Linked DNA regions of Macaca fascicularis. The protein of the gene in region 1 interacts with the protein of each later gene in a biochemical or structural test. Links are inferred from orthologs where the notes say so. Each region holds a gene or a part of one and is shown on either strand. Other genes may lie near its edges.

Region 1 (4,123 bases):
CGGACACTGTTTGCTCAAAATGGTCCACCACAGAATTGATTTCTCGGAACTGGCTAAGCCTGAGAGCTGATGGTTTGTGAGATCAGAGGTGCTAGTCAAAGAAACACACAGGAACTCTTTCTGTCTCACAGAAAGGTGTTTTCTGGGAGCATGGGTTGTTTGCACACAGATATCCAGAGATTTTGCGCAAGACCTCAGCAAACCTTCCATTGCTTCCTGAGAGCAGAGAATTTGCTGCCAGCAAAGGTCTCTAAGGCTTGTTTTAGACTCTGAAGTCCGTGAAAGTTCTTACTGGGAAAAGGTAAATGGCTGGGTCTCTGGTCCCGGGTCTGGCACTGACATCTGCTTGGGGATCTGGGCCTTGGCCCTGCTCCATGCCCGGTAGAGAAGAGCAGTGGCTGAATCTCTGTGTAGTTTCCCTGCTGCTCTGATGCAGGGTGCTGCAGTAAAGCACTCTATGAATGAGCAGCAGGAGTGCTCAGCACTCTTTAAAAAGTAAAGTTGTGTGACTTTTTTCATCAGTTTAATCTCGGTAATGATGAGAAACTTCCCTCGGGCTCCAGCCCTGCCCTGCCCTACCCTACTCTCCCTGCTGATGTCGGCAGCCAGGGCCCCCTTCTTGTCCAAGGCACGGATTTCTCCCTGAAAGAGAATGAGAGTGTGAAGCCTCATCCCTTGCTCCCACTGGCCCTTGGGGCAGGGGAGTTGTGGGGTGGGCAATAGGAGAAGGCGAGAACCCCATTCCTTGGCAAGGGTTAAAAGTAGGGAAAGAGCCACCAACACTAGGATGACTGCCCTGAGTGGGCCCAGTTCATTTCTCTGATGGGCCTGGGCTGCTGTTGGAAATGCAGTGGTGCCAGCAGCTGGTTCTAAAATCCTCTGAGGTGCTCCTATACTTCTGCCAAATTAGTGTTCTCATGCCCCAGTGATCTTGGCTTCCCATTTTTGGTGCTTCTTTTTTCCCTTTACCTGCATAAAGATGTTGGGGAAAGAGTGGGGTAGGAGTTTGGCAACATGTGGCATTAAACCCTATCCCCCTTCAACAAGAGGAATGTTCACTTTTTGTGTGAGTCAGTTCCAGCTAGGCCAGTCTCAGCCCCCAGACCCGCCCGTCTCCTCTGACCCTCTGGGAACATTGCCCATCATGAATTAACATTTGGGTTGCTCAGGTTGACATATGACTTATTCAACAAAAGAGACCCATCAGGTTTGATATAGCCTTTCTTCTGTGACTCTGCAGAGGGAGAAAGTTTCAGACATTCAGGAGGAAACTGTAAACACAGGGTAAGAAGGGCTGGCAGGGGCCAATGGCTGCTGCCCTTCTGCACTGCCTAGAGAAGGGGAAAGATTCCCCTCCAGTAGACTTAACTGACAGCTTCAAGAGTTTGAAGACCCTGGAGAGAAGTTACCGATGGGGCCTCCACTGTCATTTCTGCATTTGCAGAGTGCAGCTGGCTGTGCATGGGTTGGGGAGGAGGGGACTGGCACTGGTAGTGGGTGTGCCCAGAGGATGGAGCCAGGACAATTAATCAAGTGCCTTTTCTACAGGATTTCCATTGGCCTTGGATGACAGATGGGGCAGAGGCACCCAGGAGAGCACTATTTTGGTTTCCAGCTGGGAACGTGCACTAAGTTTTCCTTAATACCCACAGCACCCAAAAGGCTTTGCTGTAATACACTTTAATGCATGAAACACCCATAAATTATCCTTCGAACTGTTACAACTTCCAACCTGGAACAACTTGGAAAAACCAGCCTAGCAAGCAGGCTCTTTTTTAATCTCTCAAATCACAACAGAAGAAAAAGTTCAAGCACGAAACACCTTCCTTAAGAATCTCGGAGTTTTTTTTTTTTTTTTCTTTTTCTTTTTTTTAAGAAGGAGGTCTGTAATTAGAGGGAGCTAAGCTGCTTGTTTCTGCTGGCTCAAAGTTGCAGCTCCCTGACCCCCGAGTCCTCTCTTCCTCCCCTAGATCCTCCTCGCCTGAACCCAAGGCGCTGCCCGCCCCAACCTTCCACGCCCGCTTCTCCCACACCTGGCAGCAGACAGCTGGAGATGAAGCGTGTGACCCAAGTGGCACGAATGAACCTTGGCGACCTCGACCTGAGGTTGTCCAACGCGGCTCCGTGGAGGGCCCCGGTACGCCGGACGGACCCCGGTATTGGCTCGCAGACTTCCTGGGTTAACCCCCGGGGCCCTCAGTCACGACTCCCAGCCCTTCCGAGACGCGCTGAGGGAACTGCCCTAGGTCTAGCGCGCCCTGTTCCGCTCGTCCCCCTACCTGGGAGCAGCGCAGCACTTTCCTGACTCGGCGCTCACCTCAGCCAGCGCGCTCTGCGCTCCCCCCGCGGTGCTGGCCGCCACTCCTCCCGCCCCGGCGCGCCAGCTGCCGGCGCATCCCTCTCGGTGCCCATTCGCTCTCCCTCACTTGCGCGTTATCCACTTCTAGCCCTCGAGCTAGACTCTGCCATGGCCGTGGGCTTCTGCAGGCGCCAAGGCTGCTCCCTGGACCGCCGGCCATCCCGGGACTAGGAACTCCACGACGAGAACGAACGCTGTTCCCGCGGTCCGACTCGTCCTCCCGCGAGGGTCCCGCGACCCCACACCCACTCGGGACATTTCTCAGGGCTGCTCTTGGGTCCGCGGGAGCCTCGGGGGTAACCAGAGAGCTCGCCAGACCGGTATCCTTGCATACTCTCCCGCGAAGCCCAGCCACCCCGGCCCGCGCCCGCGCTGCGCCCCTCTCGGGATCGGCTCGGGGCAGCCTGACTCACCGCTGCGCTCCCCTCCGGCTCCCAGCGCTCTCTGCTGTGCCGGAGCGCCGAGCTGCTCTCACACAGGCTTCTTGAATTCTTAGCCCCTCCTCCCGTACTCCTGAGTCACACGCTCCAAATCCTGGCCCCCATCCCTCCCCTCCCCATCACCAGCCCCGCACCTGCTGTGGCGGGGTGGTGGTGCCTGGCTGGAGGGGGTCCTGAGGACTAGAGACGGATCGCTCCTGGAGGGCTGGCCAGACCCAGCCAGAGAAGGACTTTAAACTTCCAGAGGTCAAAGGGAAACCCACTGGGGTCTGAGGGGCCGCGCGCGCAAAGCCGGGAGGAGGATTTTCTGGGGCACCGGCGGGGGTCGTTGGGCCGACTGGTTGGGGCTAAGCGGCGTTGCTCGCAGCTTCCCTCACCTCTCCGCCCTGCCCCCGCGCGTTGCCCTTCGCCAGTGCTTCCCTGGTCTGCCCGGCGTCGCCCTCATTGCCCCAGGCATTGGCTGCTCCCCGCGCCGTCTAAGGGAGCTTTTCTTCGTGGCACCCTTCCTCACCCCAGGATAGGTGAGCACCCAGGGGGAGCCCCGCGAGGGGCAGGTGCCCAAGCTCCTCTGACAAGGGAAGGCGGCTGCAGAACCAGTTAGAAGGCCCCCAGGCACTGGCGAGTCCAGCGTAAGGACAAGGGGCAGAGGACTTCAGGAGTCAGGAGGAGCTAGACCAGGGACCTTAACTTAAGGCCCTGGGTTCCAGGAACTTCCCGGAGTCCCTGGCCCCTCTGAAACGGTAGGCTGATTTGCGCGACTGTGTGCAATGCTAATATTCTTTTCTGGGCTGAAGGTCTGCAGCTTTCATCAGTTTTGCAACGGGCCTGTGACCCCTAGACTGACATAGCCAGCAAACCTTCTGCTTAGGCCCTCTCTCCACACTCCAGGCCCCACACAAATCCTTCCTGACCCTTCAAGATTTCTTGAGTTCCCTGGATTCAGCCTGACAGGGGAGCTTGCCTGACTTTCCCCTGCCCCTCTGCCAGGGTTGTTCCCACCCCAGCATAAAATTAGCAAGGGAGAAATACCCCTGAAGTCAAATTTGTCGCCAAATGTGCACCATTAATTGTAGCATTCCAGGGGATTCACATCTCTTTGGAAATTTACAGCCCCATTCCCTCCTGTGTTGAGCTTGTCTGTGTCTTCACTTCTTCCTTTAGCAAAGGTGGGTTGGACCGCTACCCCGTGTGGATGCCACAGAGGATAAGTGGGTGTGGGGAGAGTAACAGGAAGGGAAGGTGAGGCACAGAATCTCTCTATTGCTGGTGACACTAGCCAGTGCAACCCAGCAGAAGGGCACCCTCTGGGGAGCTGGGATTTAGT
Region 2 (3,515 bases), on another chromosome or scaffold:
TAAAGAGATGAAGACTCAGAGGGAAGCTGGGCAGGCAAGACCCCCAGCGCAGACTCAGGATTCAAACCCAAGACCCTAACCCTCTGCTTTCTGCTCTTGGGCATGGATATCTCCCATTTATTATTTAATATGTGGAATTAAGAACCTGGAGTAGGGCCCTGCTGGTGTTTGTTAGAAAAAGGCCCTCCTCTGGGTAGATGCAGCCCTGCAGGTCAAAGCTTAGCGAATGGAGTTTGGGCTAGGTTTCAGCTCTACTTGCCCTGTTGGCTGGGAGCCCTGTGCAAGCTGCAACCTGTCCAACCACTGATGACATCCCTGTTGGTAGGCCCTCCGCTGGGCCTCAGGCCACCTTCCCCATGTGGTGTATCCTTGGGATTCCAGGAGTTGCTGTAACCCCAAGATGAACTTTGCAGAAGGTCAGCAGCTGAAGCTCTGACCTCACACCCCCAGCAGCCTGCACAGGCATACTGTCCCTCACTTGCCTTTCCCCTGTCAGCTTTGATGTGCCTAATGCCTCCTTGGTGAGCTCATCCCAGCCCAGGTGGTTCTAATAGAAGGCAGTGGGAGGGGGTGTTTGATTCCCCGGAAGAGACCCCCGCCTTTCTCTTGCCAGTCTGACCCTCTGATCTGCCTCCATCCAGGTGTCCCTTGGAGGTGCCAAGGAGGCATGCCCCACAGGCCTGTACACACACGGCGGCGAGTGCTGCAAAGCCTGCAACCTGGGCGAAGGTGTGGCCCAGCCTTGTGGAGCCAACCAGACCGTGTGTGAGCCCTGCCTGGACAGTGAGTAGAGGGTGGTGGGTAGCAGGAGGGGAGAAGAATGGGGGTGAGGAGGAGAGGGGTGAAAGGGAGGGGCGCTGGGAGAAGCATGCCCAGTAGAGCCTTATAAGTGGGAAGGGTCCCCTTCCCACCACTGTAAGGTCACCAGAAGTGGGTCTGACCCAGTGTAGGAGGTGTTTCTCCCAGATGGGAGAAGCTGAGAATGGAGAAGGGAAGTGTGCAGAGGGAGGAGGGGAACCCCACAGGGGATCTCCAAGGGGTGCCCATTCCCAGCTCCTGAGAAGGCAGAGGCCTGGTAGAAGAGTGTGGCCGGGCAGGGAGGAATAGCTGATGCTAAGACCAGCTAAAAATATCATCTGCACTGCAAAATCAATGGCTGCCACTTATCCCTGATGTGTTTGGGGGAAGGGAGAGGAGGATCAAATCCTGGCTGCCCTGGAGGCTGACCTTGGGGGATCCTGGGGGTGTGGCTGCTCTCCCCCACAGACCAACTCTTCTCCAGCTTTGACCAGGAAGCAGAGTTTTCCCGAGGCAGCAGGGATAGGGGTCCTGAAGACGTACTTATTGTTGGGTGACAGAGGGGAGGGGAGATGGGGAGCTGTGCCCATTCCTGCCTGGGATCCTTCCTTCCTTCCTTCCTTCCTTCCTTCCTTCCTTCCTTCCTTCCTTCCTTCCTTCCTTCCTCCCTCCCTCCCTCCCTTCCTTCCTTCCCTTTCTTTTTCTTTCTTTCTCTCTCTTTCCTTCCTTCCTCCCTCCCTCCCTCCTTTCTTTCTTTCTCTTTCTTTCTTTCTCTCTCTCTTTCTTTCTCTTCCTTCCTTCCTTCCTTCTTTCCTTTCTTCCTTCCTTCCCTCCCTCCCTCTCTCTTTCTCTCTTTCTCTCTCTCTCTCTCTTTCTCTCTTTCTTTCTTTCTTTCTGGCAGAGTCTTGCTCTGTTGCCCAGGTTGGGAGTGCAATGGCATGATCTCGACTCACTGCAACCTCCACCTTCTGGTTTCAAGTGATTCTCATGCCTCAGCCTCCTGAGTAGGTGGGACTACAGGTGCATGCCACCATGCCTGGTTAATTCTTGTATTTTTAGTAGAGATGGGGTTTTACCATGTGGACCAGGCTGGTCTCAAACTTCTGGCCTCAAGTGATCCACCTGCCTCAGTCTCCCAAAGTGTTGGGATTAGAGGCGTGAGCCACCGAGCTCAACCCTGCCTGGGATTTCTTTCAGGAGGGGAGAGAATCTCATCTTCCAGGGCTGGTGGGTCTGGGCCTCTTAGCCCCAGTCTTGTCCAGGGTCTGAATCCCCTCGTGTTTTGAGTCAGGGGTCTTGGTCCCTGATGGGTGCCCCCAGTCCGCAGTTGCTGCCTTTGGACCATGGGCTCCCTGCCCTTTTCCTGATGACTGCCACTCAGAACCTGCCTTCTACCTGGCACTTGATGCCCACCTGGAGGGCTCAAGGGAACCATACTCAGATTGTTCTTTAATCTGGCTGGGAATAAGGGGATAGAGCTGGGGCCTCTGAATCCACCTGCGGACATAGTATTACCTCTCTGGATGTCCCCCTGAGTCTATCTGTCCTTAAGGCAACCCCAACTCTTGGTGTTCCCCAGACATACTGTTCCCCTTCTCTGTGCTTGTGGATCCTGTAACTCCATTCCCCAGCCAAGAGATGCCTGGGCGTATGTGTGGAGGTGGGACATCCTCCAATGCCTTTGCCATCTTGCTGTCTGGCCTAACAGGGTTTCCATCCCAGGACGGGGTGGCCAACCATCAGCTATCCCAGAACCGCCAAATCTGCCTCTCTCGCTTCCTGGACTCCAGCCCAGGGCTCTCCTCCCAGGACCTAAATGATGGGAACCCTTTCCCTTCAGTCAAAAGATCTTCAGCAGGAGGTGGGGTGGAGGACACCAGGAGAGGCAAGTTCCAGAATCTCTGGAAGGGAAGGGAGGCAGGCAGAGAGGTGGCTTTGAGAATCCTCCCTTCCACTTCCTCCCTCCCCTCCCTTTTCCCCTCCTTCCCTGTGTCCCCCTCCTCCACCTCCAGCTGCGTTAACAGGCTGCCTTTACAAGCCCACTTTATGGGATGGAGACCCCAGCGGACTTTCCCTCTATCCTTAAAACGTTTCCACAAGGAAACCTATTAAGCCCCTGCCTTCATTCTCTGCCAAAAAAGACCACATTTTTCACACCACCTAAAACCCTCTCCCAGGAGTTTTCTGCTAATTTTCTGTGTTTTGCCATGAGCAGGGTTCTCCTTTTCCCCTCCTGTGTGACTAGATTTACCCTCTGTCACATGCCAGCCAGCCAGGACCCTCTTGTTTGTACAGATCAGACATCCTGCCTTGGCTGTTTGTGTTTGGACGTTCTTTCTGCTGTCTGACCATATTCCTACCACCAAAGTTCACTGTTCTTATCGCTCCCAACCCCCATGGGGCCCAGTCTTTATAGGATCCCAACTACATGCCAAGACTTTATGGCTGAATTTCATTTATTCCTCACCACAACCCTGTGACTGCAGATATTGCTCCTTATTTTTACAGAGAAAGAAAAAGCTCAGAGACGTTAAGTAAAACACCCGAAGTCACACAGCTGATAAGCGATGGAAGTAGATTTTTGAATCCAGATCTGCCTGCTCCTAGGAAAAGGGATACAGGGTTCCTCTGTCAGAACTGACTTGAAACTGAAGTCTCCCTCCAGGCCCTTCTTCCTGGGTCTTTCCTTCTCTCCTCTACCCTTTTCTATTTTCTTC

What was found.
Region 2: the proteins of NGF (region 1) and NGFR form a complex in vitro, tested with the Homo sapiens proteins (2 studies listed by BioGRID and IntAct, with this or other methods). The link is inferred for Macaca fascicularis from reciprocal best matches to the Homo sapiens genes NGF and NGFR.

The regions. Positions count from the first base shown.
Region 1 is NC_088375.1:119,049,005-119,053,127, reverse strand, and holds the start of NGF (beta-nerve growth factor), read right to left. Parts: upstream 2,806-4,123; 5' UTR 2,773-2,805; intron 1-2,772. UniProt on the Homo sapiens protein: Nerve growth factor is important for the development and maintenance of the sympathetic and sensory nervous systems.
Region 2 is NC_088390.1:57,210,041-57,213,555, reverse strand, and holds part of NGFR (tumor necrosis factor receptor superfamily member 16), read left to right. Parts: intron 1-641; coding exon 642-783; intron 784-3,515. UniProt on the Homo sapiens protein: Low affinity receptor which can bind to NGF, BDNF, NTF3, and NTF4. Forms a heterodimeric receptor with SORCS2 that binds the precursor forms of NGF, BDNF and NTF3 with high affinity, and has much lower affinity for mature NGF and BDNF.